3 linked regions of the Arabidopsis thaliana genome follow. Each later gene encodes a partner of the first gene's protein in a complex. Each region holds a gene or a part of one and is shown in the gene's direction. Other genes may lie near its edges. The genes, in order: RANGAP1, WIT2 and WIT1.

Region 1 (5,005 bases):
CTCCTGATGACATTTCTATGGCAACTCCGCTCGCCATGCCATCAACTTGCCGACGTCAGGTCCATGTCAGCACCTTTGACCAGACCGTACACCTACAGGACTTGCTTGACAAAAACGCTAGTGGGATCAAACACATGAAAGATTACCGACAAGAGGGTCATCAGTATAACGTTTAAGGAGTCACATGATGATCCCAGGGGCTACCACTCACGGGACTCACTATCTCCAATCGCACCACCGTCCTCTGACCCTAAGAATAGCAATGGCGGTGGTGGTTCAGGTGCTTGTGGTAATGTTGAGGCTCCTGCTACTGCTGCTTAACCACCGCCCAAGATTAACGATACTCCTTGTAATGGCAAAGCAGCAGAGCCTCCTGTCGCTAATGTGAAATGCAGCAGCAGATGGAATAGTTGCGGTTTGATGTAAAGTAGAGATCTATTTAGTAGTTTAACCAGTATCAAGGAAACTATATTATAGCAACTTCTTAAAGAATGAGTTGGTAGAAATTTTCAGATTTTCTACTACACACAATTGTCACAAACAATCAATCATGCAAAAGAATCATCACTACTAAAACACAAAATAATCCTATCTTACCCTTGCCGATCAGCGTGCTGTGGTTTGAGAGCAGAGTGAGTCGGGTGTCCTCTTCTGCCAAGTCTCTTTGTTGGCTCGGCATGCTTCTTTTATGGGCCACTCGATCTGGAAGCCGTCTCTGTTCTGCTTTTCTAACTGACAACAGTGTGTGTGAAACGTCTGAGGATCTACCTGAAGCTTGAAGTCAAGGGTAAACAACAACTCCATCTCCAATCTGTTTAACTCTCTCGTAGTCACACCTCCCACTCTTGCGTAGTATGCATTGTTGAAATACCTGCACAACACCAGAGATCAATGAATCTATGATTGAAGACTTATTTGCGTGTTGAATTTGATACCAGGTTTAGTGAGTAACATACCTATCATCGAAGACTTTAGCAGCTAACATGACAGTTGTAATGATAAGGCGGTGGACATTAAGGGGTTTGAGAAGGGCTCGGGTCTTATGGAGAAAGTGATCAATGTAGATATGCGCAATGACGAAGCAGGAGGGACTGCAGCAAGAGTACTTGAAAATGCGATCCAAGTAGTGTGCAATACTGATCTCAGGGGGAGATCTCCCGTCAAACACGGTAACAGAGTCTGGCGATCCAAGCAGAATCTTGTCATCATGATTGAGTAACAGAGATCTCTCCAGAGAAGAAGAGAGGCGTGAGAGAACAGTCGGTGGCTTTTTCAATCGTTTGCCCTCAATAATAAGTCCTAACCTGAGGTATACATCCGAATCAATGAAAGCTGGATCGGTTGCGAGAGAGTCCATTTCTCCAACGAATCTGCAATGAAGATGATGATGTGCATAAAAATGGTAACTTTGAATAGGGTTTTGAAATAGAAGACGTATGTAGAGTAAATTTCAAGCAGGTGAACTAATTCCTAATCAAGAACCTAAACCCTCTCTATATGTCTCCCTACCTACCAAGTACCAAGAATCTTGAGAGTCAAGAATTAGGAATAAAGTGGAAGAAGCTTACGAGAATAAAGTGGAAGAAGTTGGTTCGTGAACTAGAGAAGGTCCGGAGAATGGAAGAAAGCAGATCTATCTCCGGCGCTTCTCCATTGTTTTTTTTTTGCTGCTCTGAAGCTTAGAAGCTAAAAGAAGCCGCGAAGAATTGTGAAGAAGAAGGAAAGTTTCCATTATTGCCTTTTATTTTATTTTATTTAATAATTTAAGGGTTTTTGATTTTAAAATGAATAATAATAATAAATACAAAAAAGAAAGGACAGAAGGAAGGAGTGATGTGTGGTAGAGAGAGACAGTTCACCGTCGGCGAGTCCAGCTGGCGGTGGTGGGAGCCCACCGTGTCACCTTAATCATCGCTGCGCTGCCCTGTCTTTTTTCCATTATTAATTTTTAGCAAGAAGAAGACTGGGCTTTCTAAATTAGTTATTAATGGGCTTTGGGCTTTCGTGGTTAGGGTTGTGTAGGGGCTTAATCGTCATTTCGGAGATAGAATAAACCCTAATCTCCATGGATGGGCTCTCCGATGTTTGTCTTTTTGATTTTTGAAATTTGATTTTCAAAAATAAACTAAAGCATCATTGCCTCCCATTATCGTCACGCACGCAGATCAATGATTCTCTCACTCTGCTTCTCATTCACGCTTCTTCTTTGAATTCACTTTTCTATTCCTTTCTTTTTCTCCGTCCGAGAGAGTATAGAGAGACCCATTTCTTCGATCCATCCGCTGAGAAAAAAAAGGTACCGTCGTATTGTTCTCTCATGTTTCTGGGTTTCTTTTTGTTTCGAAATATATTCTTCTCGTTTGCAGTGTGATTTTGAGGGTTTCCTTGTCTAAAAAATGCAGTTTTTAATTAATGGATTTACAATAGAAATGTAGTTAGATTCTTCGACACCATCTTCGTTTTCGATTGGATCTACATGTTATGCTCTCTCTTTTTCCTTGGAATACTATGTCAGATTGAGTAATGGTTGTCCTTGTATTGAATTACAGAAGAAAACCAAGCAGTAGTAGAATGGATCATTCAGCGAAAACCACACAGAACCGTGTTTTGTCAGTGAAGATGTGGCCACCGAGTAAGAGTACCCGTCTCATGCTTGTTGAGCGGATGACCAAGAACATTACCACCCCTTCCATCTTCTCCAGGAAGTACGGTCTTTTGTCTGTTGAAGAGGCTGAGCAAGACGCCAAGCGCATTGAAGATTTGGCCTTTGCTACTGCCAACAAACACTTCCAGAACGAGCCTGATGGTGATGGCACTTCTGCTGTTCACGTCTATGCTAAAGAATCCAGCAAGCTCATGCTTGATGTCATCAAACGTGGTCCACAGGAAGAATCCGAGGTTGAGGTGAGCAAGGATGGTGATGTCTTTTTTGATATATCTGGTGGGAGCAGAGCTTTTATTGAAGAAGAGGAGGCACGCGACCTTTTGAGGCCTCTGGCTGACCCGCGTAACTCCTATACCAAAATCCGTTTTAGCAACAGGAGTTTTGGGTCTGAAGCAGCCAAATTTGCTGCGAGCGTTTTGTCTTCCATCAAGGATCAGCTGACGGAAGTGGATCTCTCGGATTTTGTTGCAGGAAGACCAGAGGCTGAAGCGCTTGAAGTCATGAATATGTTTTCATCTGCTTTAGAGGGTTCTAAGCTTAGGTATCTGAATCTCTCGGACAATGCTTTGGGAGAAAAGGGAATTAGGGCATTTGCTTCTCTCATCAATTCTCAGCATGACTTGGAGGAGCTCTATCTGATGAATGATGGCATTTCCGAGGATGCTGCACGTGCAGTTCGTGAGCTTCTCCCTTCTACTGACAAAATCAGGGTTCTTCAGTTTCATAACAACATGACAGGAGATGAAGGAGCAACTGCCATTGCAGAGATTGTCAGGGAGTGTCCATCTTTGGAAGATTTCCGGTGTTCATCTACAAGGATTGGTTCAGAAGGTGGTGTTGCACTAGCTGAAGCACTTGAACACTGTAGCCACTTGAAGAAACTTGATCTTCGTGACAACATGTTTGGAGTCGAAGGTGGAATTGCCCTGGCCAAGACTTTATCAGTCTTGACTCATTTAACCGAGATCTATATGAGTTACCTGAACTTGGAGGATGAGGGAACAGAGGCACTTTCTGAAGCTCTACTTAAGTCCGCCCCTTCTCTTGAAGTTCTAGAATTGGCTGGTAACGACATTACTGTAAAATCCACTGGAAATTTGGCAGCTTGCATCGCCTCCAAACAGTCTCTTGCAAAGCTGAATTTATCTGAGAATGAACTCAAAGACGAAGGGACTATCTTAATTGCAAAGGCAGTTGAAGGTCATGATCAGTTAGTTGAAGTTGACCTGAGCACCAACATGATCAGAAGAGCTGGGGCAAGGGCCTTGGCACAAACTGTTGTGAAGAAAAATACTTTCAAGCTTCTGAACATCAATGGAAACTTCATATCTGAGGAAGGTATTGACGAGGTAAATGACATGTTTAAGGACTGTCTGGACAAGCTTGTTCCTTTGGACGACAATGACCCTGAAGGAGAAGATTTTGAAGATGAAGACGAAGAGGAGGAAGGCGAAGATGGCAATGAATTGGAATCAAAGCTTGGAAGTCTGAAAATCAAGCAAGGGGAGGAATGATGTGATGCTTTTGTTGCTATGTAGGTAGGTTCAGTGTTATCTCTCTTTCTGGATTCGGTAAACATAGTTAAGTAGGTATCTAAGGATCTAAGATTGTCTTCAGATTTATTTCCTTGAAGCGAAATTGTTATCTTCGTGTAAACCAGAATTGTTGTTGGTCTTTTGGTTATGAATATTTAAATGATCTTTTAGCTGAAATCATGTTCATCTCATATGAGCCGTGGGAAATGAAAGAGCACAGTGTAGCATAAGAAGTTACAAATGAAGAACAAACTTTATGGCGTATTTGATCAAGCGGCCACTGGAGTTTTGAGGGCTTCGAGTATCTTATCGTCTAACTCAAACTTAATCTCTTTCTTGTCTCTGCCAATCTTCACATACTCTTCGAATCTCTCCTTGAGATCTTCAGGCAGATTCGTTTTACTCTCCCACCCTAATAAGTCCTTAGCGGCTCTTGGCTCTGCGTAGAAATGCTGCGACCATACAAAGACAAGTTTGTAAAGCTACTAATGAATGAAGTAGGAGAAGAGCTTCTACAGGGTTTCGTTTACCATGTTTCTGAATAGAAAAGCCTTCTTGGCGTCAACCCCAATGGCTTTAGGGTCATAATGAACGATCTCAACAGTTTTGCCAGCAGCGGCAGCACAGAGCTTGGCCATACCGTCAAGAGTAACGGCTCTGTCGCTAACGCAGTTGAAGATGTTGCCGGAAGCAGCCTCTGGGTTGGCAACGGCAGAAGTAAGCATGGAAGACAAGTCCCTCACGTGGGATATGTTGGTTAGCTGCAATCCTGATCCTGGGATTGGCACTGCTCTGTCCCTCACAA
Region 2 (5,454 bases), on another chromosome or scaffold:
AAATATGAAATAAATTACCGATCGATGTCAAAGTTACTTGATTTTAGTTAATAAAAATTAACAACTCGGTGTATTTTATTAACTAGGTAAATGATTATTGACGCTAATTGTTTAGTTTTCTCCTAACACAAATTCTTTTCTTTAATACGGGTCATGAACAAGTGTAAACGTATTAACTAGTGGAAAAATGATTAAAATAAAATAAAGGAAGAGTAGATGGACGGTCCGGTTAACGCAAAGATCGAGGTCATTATTAGTTGGCCTTGGGACTTGCAATTTCCAAAGACCTAAGAAATTAAACCTTATAATAATTGAATTCTCCAGCCCACACCTTCACTTTATCTTCTCTTTTTCTATTTTTTAATTCCCTAATTATTAACCATAGTTTAACTTTCTATATCATAGTTTAATCTCTTGCTGCATAATTAAACGTCAATATTGTTTATCTCCACTATGTAACTAGTCATTTTTTTACACATAAGAGCCATACAAGAGAGCTCGTAATTAGTTTTTACTAACTATACCACCCATTATCACCACATGTGTTATACTCTTTCCATTTCATAATGAAAAACTATTTTGGACTTTTAGGCATATATATAGTATTAAAATCTATGTTTGACGACAAGAAAATAGTATCAGTTTTTTAAGTAATTCACTAGTAGTATATCTTACATATAAAGAATGTCTAATTCAAACACTATATATGACAAACCTGATATAAAATATATTATCAGTAATATTATCAAATTGTATAACGCTTGGAACCATAAAAAAAAAAGGAACTAAATTTTAGTTTAACTATGCTCTAAAATGGTCAAGTTATCAACGACAACTAGGGAATAAAGAAATTTATTTTAGCAATAATTACCTTGACATGTCTTAATAATAATCATCTAATCTCGCATGCATAGATTCCTTACCTCGAATGTCTTAGCATGCACTATATAACAAGGCATGAACAACGTAACTAAATGTCCATATATATACTAAACAAACAATCTTATGATCTATGTATTTCAGTACATGATATCACACCAAGTTGCTCTATACGTAGTCACGGCCACTTAAGAGCCCAATCACAATCACCCTCGTCTCATCCTAGTGATCTTTCTGTCATATACTTAACACTTCACCATTATAACTGCTTTCAAAAACAGATCATTCACATTTTCACCACCATATAACTAAACCATCATAAACAAAGTAATCACATCATGTAGACTATCAATTTAACATCTCCTCTACATATCCACAATTACGTTGGTGTCAAGTCTCAAACATATGTTGACAGTGAAACAATTTATCTCTCTCATGTTTAGTCACTCACGGTCACGAAATTGAATTAGAGTGGATACATGTCATAAATTCAATAATATTATCATTACACACATGCTATTCTATAATAAATTGCATTAACTTTGGGAATTAAATTGTCCACTAACAAAAAAAAGATACATTAAATTTTTTGAATTTTTGAATAAAATTATAATCTTAAATGTGAGTGTATCATGTTATTATCTAGACGTTACAGACGAAATATAATTCTAAATCAGAATTTTTGAAAAAAAAACTTTTGAAATATTACATTAATTGCTAACTATATTACAGTTATATTTAGGCCTTTTTAGCTGTAACCAATAAGAGCAGCTTAAGCAGTCGTTCTTCTTCCTTACCAATAATTCAACGTCCACCACAACATAACACTCACGCTAACGTAAGCGAAAACGCTAGCATGCGCGGCTCTTTCTTTATCGTTGGATGACTTGTAAACAAATTCCGCGCATTTTAGCATCAATTTTTCTGACGCCAGAAAACACCGTACCATTCTTGAAAGGCAAAATTGGAGTTCGTTGACGGAGTAAAAGCTCTCTCTGTTTTTTCATCTACTCGAACTACAGATTTTCATCGGTAAAGTTTTGATCTTTTCAGATCCTCTTTGAATCTTCAACACTCTGTTTTGTCTGTTTCCAAGTTTTAGTTTTGTTCTTGTTGAATTTTGATATTTTTGTTCTGGTTTTATGGTAAAGTTTGAATCTCGTTGTAGTAAATTGTTAAATTAGTAAGAATTTCTGGTGGATCTCTTTGAAAATGCTGAGTCTTTACAAGTATGTAACATTAACTGACTTGGCTTATTGGTCTCTTTCTTGACAAGTGGATTCTTCTCAAATTTCACTTCTCTTTGCTTAGGTTTTGTTCAAAGTAAGGATTTGATTTAGTTGCACTTACTATAATGTGTTTTTGGGTACTTGGATTACATTTTCAATTATTTGCTTGGATGTTCTGGTTTCAGTTGATGAATGATTGGTTTCATATAGAAGAATTGAGCTATGACTAGTGCTAGGATTGGAACTGCGATACCTCGCATTAGAAAGATAGTGTCATTTCACCTAAGTATCCATTTTTTTGGATTAGTTTTTTTTTCTTGTTCCTAGCTAAGCTTTGAACTTTTGATTTTTAGGCCAAGAATGGAGGAAATCATTAGGGAGGACTATTTTGAAGCTTTGTCTAGTAGGAATGAGGAAGAGCAAGAGATGTTGAGGATGTTGACAAAACTAGAGATAGACTCAGCTTATACTAGTGAAAAGTTGATGAATCTGCATGTTCTTCTTATGCATCTTTTGGCATGGGATAATGATCTTGAAGGGATGGGGACACTTGATTCTTCTCCAGCATCCTTTGAAAAAGCTTTGACGTTTGATCTGTTATGCGGTATATTGGAGTCAGAAGTGAAGGAGGTGGACGAGGTTTTGGATGTGTTGGAAGCTCAAATAGTTGACACTTCTTACAAGATATCTTCTTGCAAACACGGAAATTATATTGTTATTGAAGGAAAGTTGGGTGAATCTGCAGAATCATTGAAGCAGTCTAGAGGACAAGTCTCAGAGATCACTTTGCAATTAGCTCAGCTCCGAAGAACACTTCATTACATAAGAAATGGAACAAGTAATCACTTTTGATATATGGTTGTTTTAAAGTTATTGCTGCTTTGGTTTTCTTAGCTTCTTGTTGTTATTGACAAAAATGTTGGCAGGTGAAAACGAGGAGTCAGTGGAGTTAAGGCAGAAATATGCGCTGAAACCATCGGACTTGAGGCATAAAAATGCTCTGAGGATGCTGGAGAAGTCATTGTCAAGAGAGCTAGAGCTTGAGAAGAAGTTAATGGAATTCCAGCAAAATGAGGAACAGTTGAAACTCAAGCTACACTACACAGAGGAGGTATCTTCTCGGATGGAAGAAGCATCAGAGTTTATATGGGGACGGTTTCTAGAGGCAGATAATTCTTCTGAGGTTCTTACAGGTATTTCAAAGGAACTTGTTGGTCGTCTACAGATTCTCCAGTTTAGTCTGAATGGGTCAGCACAACGGGAATCCGAACTTAAGTCTAAGCTTGAAGATTGCACTGTACAACTGGAAGCGAAAGATCTTCTGGTGCAAAAGCTTGAGGGAACAATTTCAGAAAATAGTGAAATAGTTTCAGAAGTACTCACTTTGAGGGAATATGTGAAGTCAGCTGAACAAAAGCTGAAAAATACCGACCTTGAGCTGAAAAGTGTCAACGCCTCCAAACAAGAAATCCTGGTACATCTAGCTGAAATGGAAAATGCAAATGAGTCGGTCAAAGAAAACCTTTTCGAGGCTGAAAGCAGAGCTGAGAGTGGAGAAGCTAAGATTAAAGAGCTAGATGCTGCAAATCTTGAACTTACTGAGGAACTAAATTTTCTCAAAGATGCGGATGATAAAAAGACGAAGAAGGTGAACTCTCTCGAGAAGCAAGTCAGGGAATTAGAAGTTCAAGTACAAAACTCCAAGGTATCATCAGAAGCAAATCAAGAACAGCAGAACATGTTGTATTCAGCAATATGGGACATGGAGACCTTAATAGAAGATCTCAAGTCTAAAGCCTCAAAAGCCGAGAGTAGAACGGAGACAGTGGAGGAGCAATGCATTGTGCTTTCTACCACAAACTCTGAACTCAACAAAGACGTGAGCTTTTTGAGGCAAAAAGCCAAATCCTTAGAAGCAATGTTGGATCTAGCTAACAATGAGAAAGAGAGATATGCACAAGAAATAACTACAAGGAACAAAGTTTTGATGGATATGATGTTGCAATTATCCAGTGAAAGGGAGCGTATACAAGAGCAGGTACTTTTTGGCTAAGTGCATTATTGTTTTCTTTAGGCCAGGGACACAAGAGCATAGCATTGTTGACACATTAATGTTTTTTCTTTCTCCAGCTATATTCTTTGGCAAAAGAAAACAAAATACTTAGAGTGAATCAGTGCTCAAATACATACCAAAGAAATGGATCTTATGCTGGGGACAAAGAGCTGTCGTTTCACGCAGATGGTCACGAAATAGAGGCACTTGCTGAAAGTCTGCAGGCAGGTATTCAGTTTATTTTCCACAAGAAAAACACGAAATTCCTTGTACTTTCTTGTGTATTAGTGTATAGCTTTGATGCTTCAGAATGGTCGATGGGGCAAATATAGATCATTGTTGGGTCATGGATGTGAAAACCAGACATCTCTTGGTTACTAATCTTATGTGGGTCTTTGCTTTCTTTGAACAGGAGGATGAGAGAACAAGGGAAGAACCAGAGAAGCAGTCTGTGTCTGAAAAGAGTAGCGAGATCAGAAGAGCAATCAAATTGAAACACATACTAGTTGTGGCCTTAGTTTTTGTGCTGTTTTGTTCATTCTTTGGTGTGACTTATTAAGGAAATATATCTTAGTGAAAATGTCTTGGCCATAGCATTCGCCATTTGTACATTGTGTTGTAAATACTCATTTATCTTGTATTTATTACAAGCAATGTATCTCAAGTGTTGGTTTATCTCCTCTACAAAAACAACACATTTCAATTATTAAGTGATTTCCTAAGATGGAGTGATCTCACCAGTTGGACTAAAAAAGAATCAGACTAAATTTGGTAAAACCTTCACACAAAAGATTTGTTGCCATTTAACTTCTTTCTCTATAAGAGAACAATCTGAATTCTCTGTTCATCACTTTTACAAAAAAAAAAGAAACAAGAAAAGATTTTGAGGTTACAATTAGTAATGGAGAAAACGTCTCTCAAGCTTGTCTTCTTGTTCTCCCTCACAGTCATAGCATTGTGTAATGCTTCCTCTATAAAAACTTCTTCTTTGTTATAAAATGTTTTGCTTTGGTTTTTGTTTTGAAGTTTTATTATGGTGTGTACTTGTGAAGGTTTGTCTTTGAGTGCCGCGAGAGAGATGGCGAAAGAAGAAGTGAATTGCATAGGCGGCCATTGTCCTGATGGAAAGAAGGACTGTAACTGCTTGCCTCTTATAGCACCAACAATGGACATATATGAGACCAATGAGTCTTGCCGCACAGATAACGAATGCATCAAGTACTGTCCTAAGGGCTGCAAGATTGTTGACTGTAATTTTGGAACCTGTTTGTGTGAGTACTGTTAAAGAAATTA
Region 3 (5,652 bases), on another chromosome or scaffold:
AGAGGGAAACCGAGATGCAGAAACCGTAAAGAACATCATGGTCAAAGGTATATCTGTCTGGTTATGTTATTTTTTCTGAGAATATATGCTTATCCAAAATCTTGACTTTGTAGTTTTTTTTTTTGTCTCAGACAGACGCACTTACAGTGATTGCTTTGTTGAGGCTTTGGTGATGGAGGCAGAAAAGGATAGAGATATTGTTGTAGTTCATGCAGGAATGGAGATGGATCCGTCACTTCTTACATTTCAGGAGAGATTTCCAGACAGATTTTTCAATGTCGGAATGGCTGAACAGCATGCTGTCACATTCTCTGCTGGTCTTTCTTCTGGAGGTCTCAAGCCATTTTGTATTATTCCCTCTGCTTTTTTACAAAGAGCTTATGACCAGGTTTCACTTTCCTCTAGCACAAAATAAAATTGTTCTAAAAGGTTTTTATTACAAGCAAATGGCCTTAGTGTCTTTGATGGTTTCTTTAGGTGGTCCATGATGTAGATCGGCAGAGAAAGGCGGTGCGATTTGTTATTACAAGCGCAGGGCTTGTTGGATCCGATGGTCCAGTGCAGTGTGGAGCTTTTGACATAGCTTTCATGTCATCCTTACCAAACATGATAGCCATGGCTCCAGCCGATGAGGATGAGCTTGTAAATATGGTTGCAACTGCTGCTTATGTCACTGACCGCCCAGTATGTTTCCGGTTCCCTAGAGGCTCCATCGTCAACATGAATTATCTTGTCCCCACTGGATTACCAATTGAAGTAAGTTCCAATCTAATCTTCAAATCTTTTGGTTGCAAAAACAGACCGTGGTGACACAAGAACTGCTTTATCATATTAGAGTAGATCGGAAGAGGAAGAGTTCTCGTAGAAGGTCAAGATGTGGCTTTACTTGGTTATGGAGCGATGGTTCAGAATTGTCTTCATGCTCACTCGCTTCTCTCGAAACTCGGTTTGAACGTGACTGTAGCTGATGCAAGATTTTGCAAACCCCTAGACATCAAGCTTGTGCGTGATCTTTGTCAGAACCACAAATTCCTTATCACTGTCGAAGAAGGCTGTGTTGGAGGGTTTGGTTCTCATGTGGCGCAGTTCATAGCCCTCGATGGCCAGCTCGATGGGAATATCAAGGTAGAGAGACAAATCAAAACCTCATGTTCTCACCTGTTTTTGGTTTTAAGTTGTAATTTTGCTCTTAACATTGTGTAGTGGAGACCCATTGTGTTACCGGATGGCTACATAGAAGAAGCATCGCCTAGGGAGCAGCTTGCTCTTGCAGGGCTAACTGGACATCACATAGCAGCAACCGCTTTGAGTCTTTTGGGCCGAACTCGTGAAGCATTGCTTCTCATGAGCTAGCTTAACCTTCTCATATGGGATTTACCTTCACAAGAGACTTAAAGAGGAGTTTCTTAAACAGAATTTGTAGATAATACATTCTGAATTCAAGAGCCCATTTGATATCCTGATTTTGGAATAGCAATCTGCTATGTATTGTAAATGTAGAGTTGAGAATTGACTAAAATAAATTCAATTACTTTTTAGGCGGTATCTCAGTTTTCATATTCTCAGTTAGTTGTTGTTGTTGTTGTTGTTGTTGTTGTTGTTGTTGTTGTTGTTGTCAAGTCTATTTGGTGTAACAGTCGCATGTCCCAAATCTGGAAACAAACAAAATATAGAACAGAGACGTGTATTTTCGATACTCGAGTTTTTTTTTAATAAAAGCATCTTAAAAAATTAGTAAAGAGTTACTGTCAAACAATATTCGTTTAATTACAAATCCGAGTCCTTCTTCTTCTTCTTCTTCTCGATCTCTGTATCTCTCGATCATTTCCTTCTAAAGGAAGCGTCTTTGATCTTAATCGTCGTGTCGTTCGTTTCTAACTGTAAGTTTTCTCCTTTTCATTCATTTTGCTTCAATCTCGATCGGAATCAAGTAAAAAATCGGAACTTTTACCTAGATTTCCTCAGGAATCGAAAAGTTCTTGTGATTTAGCAGAACCTCTATTGTTTCCGATCTCTTAATTCAATTACTTGACAAAAGTGATTATACTTTCTCTGTTGCAGTTATATTGAAAGATGGAAACAGAAACGGAACATGATAGAACTGTCTCTGTCGATGACAACGACAGCCTTGTACCTGAGCCAAGCTCAACGAAAGAAAGCTTTTTTGAAGATCTCTCGCTTACTGGGCAAGTTATGAATCCTCAACTTTCAAGTGCAGGCGAAGTTTTGACAAAAGTTGAATTGGATTTTGCTTTTGTCTCTGAGAAATTGGTCAATCTTAGTCTTCTTACTATGCAACTCGGCACGAGGGAAAATGATTTTGAGTCTTTTGTTTCTAAGAAAGAAGAAGATGAAGAAGAGCCTTCGAGTAATGTTGATGATGATGATGATTCTGCTGAGAAGGCATTGGAGTTTGATCTCTTGTCTTCAATTCTCAATTCAGAGGTGAAAGAACTTGAATCGCTTCTTGGTTTTCTCCAGAACGAGATTCAAAGCGCCCGTGTCATGATATCTCCGTTTCAACATGATGGAGAAGCTTTCTTGGATTTGGAAGGGAAGTTGAATGATACTGAACAATCTTTGGGTCAGTTAATGGAACAAGTAGTGGAAATGAAGAAGCAATCTTCTAACTTTCAGAGGTTATCTTCTGGTTTGGATGAACAAGGAAGCTGTAAGTGACCAATCTAGCTTTCTTTTTAACCTTGTTGTGATGATCACTTGGTGAGAAAAATTTCAGGCTTTAATGAATACTATATAACTTTGTTTTTGCAGGGTCTGGAGGGCAAACTTCAGTGTCTCAAAACGATGGTGAGTTTGGTGATCTGAGCGCTAAGATCAATATGCAGACTGCTGATCAGCAAAGGAATGTTTTAAGGATGCTTGAGAAATCTTTGGCTAAGGAGATGGAACTTGAGAAGAAACTAAGTGAATCAAGAAATACTGAACGAGAACTAGAGATGAAACTGTATTCTTCTGAGCAGGATGTTGTCTACATGGAAGAAGTAACCGAAGATGCGTTCTCCAGGTGGCTTGAGGCAGATAATGCTGCTGAAGTCTTTAAGGGAACGTCAAAGGAGATGTCTGGAAAACTCCAGATTCTTCAGTTCAATCTAAGTGGCTCTTTTAAGCGGGAAGACAACTTGAAGTCTAAGCTTGTTGATTCAAAGGAACGTTTAGAAGCTAAGGAATGCGCCTTGCACAAGCTTGATAGCAGCAATGCAAGACTTGCTGACTTTCTTGTGGCACAAACAGAAGGCTTAAAAGAGAGTTTGCAAGAGGCTGAAGAAAAATTGATTTTGTTGAACACTGAGAATTCCACATTAAGTGAGAAAGTTAGCTCCCTTGAAGAACAACTGAATGAATATGGGATTCAAACAGAAGATGCGGATGCTACTTCTGGTGCTCTGATAACAGATCTTGAACGTATCAACGAGGAACTGAAAGATAAATTAGCCAAAACTGAAGCAAGGGCTGAGGAAACAGAATCCAAGTGCAAAATCCTAGAAGAAAGCAAAAAGGAGCTTCAAGACGAGTTGGGGAATTTCAGAGACAAGGGCTTCACTATACATAAGTTAGCATCGCTTGAGAAACACTTGAGGGACTCAGATCTACAACTAGAACATGCAGTTGCAGCTGTTGAAGCAAGTAAAGAAAAGCAGAACTTGTTATATTCTACTGTTTCTGATATGGAGGATGTGATCGAGGATCTAAAATCAAAAGTTTTGAAGGCTGAAAACAGGGCCGACATTACCGAAGAGAAGTTGATCATGGTATCTGAGTCTAACGCAGAGGTCAACGAAGAACTGAAATTCTTTAAGGGTAGATTGAAAGAAGGGGAGAAATATTTACAGCAAGCAGAAGAAAGAAAATTGCGAACCGCCAAAGATATCGGGGTACATAACAAGATCATGAAAAAACTGGTCATGCAACTAGCTGCTGAACGAGAACGACTTCATAAACAGGTATTACCATATTCGTAAAACCCCAGTTCGCTGTTAGTTCATGTCCTTGTAGCTTCATCATCATCACAGTGGATTCTTAGATATAGTGACTTATTTGCAGATAACTAACCTGTCAAGAGAGAATTGTGTGTTGATGGTGAAGTTGAAAAAGGTTGGAAAAACTGGTTATATGGAAAGTGGCAATGGAAGTGAAGTTTCACCAAAGTCGGACCAGAATGCTTCTTCTTGCCATCAAGGAAGTAGACTTCAAGCCACCTTCATTTCATTAACTAATCCAGAGGTAACATAATTCTACCTTACAAAAAATCTGATCTTTTGCTGGCATCTAAGTGAGTTATACCATTAAGCTTTAGTCCAACAATCGAATATTATGAATCTAAGCTTGACGTTAGTAACCGTGGTCACCTTTTTGTAGGAGGAAGAAACAGGTTCAAAATCAGATATTGGAAGTGTAAGGAGATTAGATGTTGGAGCTCTTAGGTTCAAACACATTCTCGTTGCAATACTCGTGATCTTAATATCGTCGATAGCTTATGTTATATCCCAGCAAAACATGTAAGAGTCTTTAACTTTTTCCAAAATCTCAGTCTCCAGTTTTGTACTCTCTTTGTCATAGTTTACAATGACAGATTATATTTTAGTTCTTTTTGGCTACCCAGTTACAGAAAATCTGCTATATAATTAACCCCGACACTGGTATTTTGTGTTATTACAATATCTTTTTCAGTGTCAAGTATTAGTACCTCTCTACACATTAGTCCTTAATCTCTGCAATATGATTAAGACCATCCAATACTTGTTGCATCAATGGCCGTTTCTTTGTATTATGCGCTGTGCATCGGTTGATGAGTGTGCCCATCTGTGTCGCCGCATTCGCAGAATAATCGCTCCCAAGTCGGGGATCGATTATTTCCTCAATCTTATAATTATCTGGCAAGAAAGATGAGGTCCAGTAATCTACTAAGCCTTGCTCTTCCTTAATCTTTTTTCTATCCTTGGAACCCATTAAAAGTTCAAGCAAGATCATACCAAAAATGTAAACATCGGTCGTCATATCCAAAATACCTAACACATACATTACACAATTGTCTTAACGTTGAACAACGAAAGATTTTTCAGAATTTGTAAAACGAAAGTTAATGCTTTCGTGTACCTAACGATCCCCATTCAGGAGATAGGTATGTAAATCTTCCCCTCTTGAGACCTTCATCTACCAAGCTTCGTTTGGTTGGTTCGAGATAGAACAGTTTTTGCATTGTATTGCTGATGAAATCCAAACTTAGATATTAATTTCTAAGATCATAAACAAAAAGAGAGAAGAAGGATGGAAATAAAACAATTACCACCTCGTCAAGCATAATGTTATGCATCCTGAGTTCTCGGTTTAGGGGGCTGTTCTTGATCGAGTGAAGAAACGCGAGACCTTGAGCTGTTCCAATGGCTATCTTAACCCGTATTTCCCATGGCAATGCCTCTTCTTCTTCTGTTGAGGGAAACGTAAAACTATAGGTAATGCAATAGTTGTCTATATCTTAGAATGGACCCATTAGCTAGAAAAGATCTTAACTTCCGAAAATGTGACTGTCCAAACTTCCTTTGTGCGAGTATTCAAATACCAAGAAGAATGGTTTGTTGTCTTCACAACAGTAACCCAAGAAATTGACCAAATTCTGATGAGACAACTGTCCAA

Evidence for each region.
Region 2: RANGAP1 (region 1) and WIT2 share a complex: the UniProt entries of both Arabidopsis thaliana proteins name them as parts of the ran complex.
Region 3: RANGAP1 (region 1) and WIT1 share a complex: the UniProt entries of both Arabidopsis thaliana proteins name them as parts of the ran complex.

What each region holds. Positions count from the first base shown.
Region 1 is NC_003074.8:23,322,537-23,327,541, forward strand, and holds RANGAP1 (RAN GTPase activating protein 1), read left to right. Parts: upstream 1-1,942; 5' UTR 1,943-2,296; intron 2,297-2,549; 5' UTR 2,550-2,571; coding exon 2,572-4,179; 3' UTR 4,180-4,377; downstream 4,378-5,005. Other genes in the region: CYCP1;1 (cyclin p1;1), read right to left, coding at 607-871, 957-1,357; CSP41A (chloroplast stem-loop binding protein of 41 kDa), read right to left, coding at 4,470-4,652, 4,731-5,005. UniProt on the Arabidopsis thaliana protein: GTPase activator for the nuclear Ras-related regulatory protein Ran, converting it to the putatively inactive GDP-bound state. Plays a role in spatial signaling during cell division.
Region 2 is NC_003070.9:25,907,500-25,912,953, reverse strand, and holds WIT2 (WPP domain-interacting protein 2), read left to right. Parts: upstream 1-1,845; 5' UTR 1,846-1,911; intron 1,912-2,415; exon of another isoform or gene 2,416-2,461; 5' UTR 2,462-2,468; coding exon 2,469-2,946; intron 2,947-3,034; coding exon 3,035-4,146; intron 4,147-4,238; coding exon 4,239-4,385; coding exon of another isoform or gene 4,386-4,389; intron 4,390-4,573; coding exon 4,574-4,720; 3' UTR 4,721-4,823; downstream 4,824-5,454. Other genes in the region: AT1G68907 (Defensin-like (DEFL) family protein), read left to right, coding at 5,063-5,120, 5,214-5,446. UniProt on the Arabidopsis thaliana protein: Together with WIT1, required for the nuclear envelope docking of RANGAP proteins in root tips. Plays a role in nuclear shape determination.
Region 3 is NC_003076.8:3,631,898-3,637,549, forward strand, and holds WIT1 (WPP domain-interacting protein 1), read left to right. Parts: upstream 1-1,751; 5' UTR 1,752-1,880; intron 1,881-2,061; 5' UTR 2,062-2,073; coding exon 2,074-2,671; intron 2,672-2,772; coding exon 2,773-3,962; intron 3,963-4,062; coding exon 4,063-4,242; intron 4,243-4,377; coding exon 4,378-4,521; 3' UTR 4,522-4,716; coding exon of another isoform or gene 4,717-5,027; 3' UTR 5,028-5,037; downstream 5,038-5,652. Other genes in the region: DXPS3 (1-deoxy-D-xylulose 5-phosphate synthase 3), read left to right, coding at 1-47, 132-388, 478-756, 841-1,125, 1,204-1,353; AT5G11400 (Protein kinase superfamily protein), read right to left, coding at 4,717-5,027, 5,116-5,225, 5,379-5,445, 5,530-5,652. UniProt on the Arabidopsis thaliana protein: Together with WIT2, required for the nuclear envelope docking of RANGAP proteins in root tips.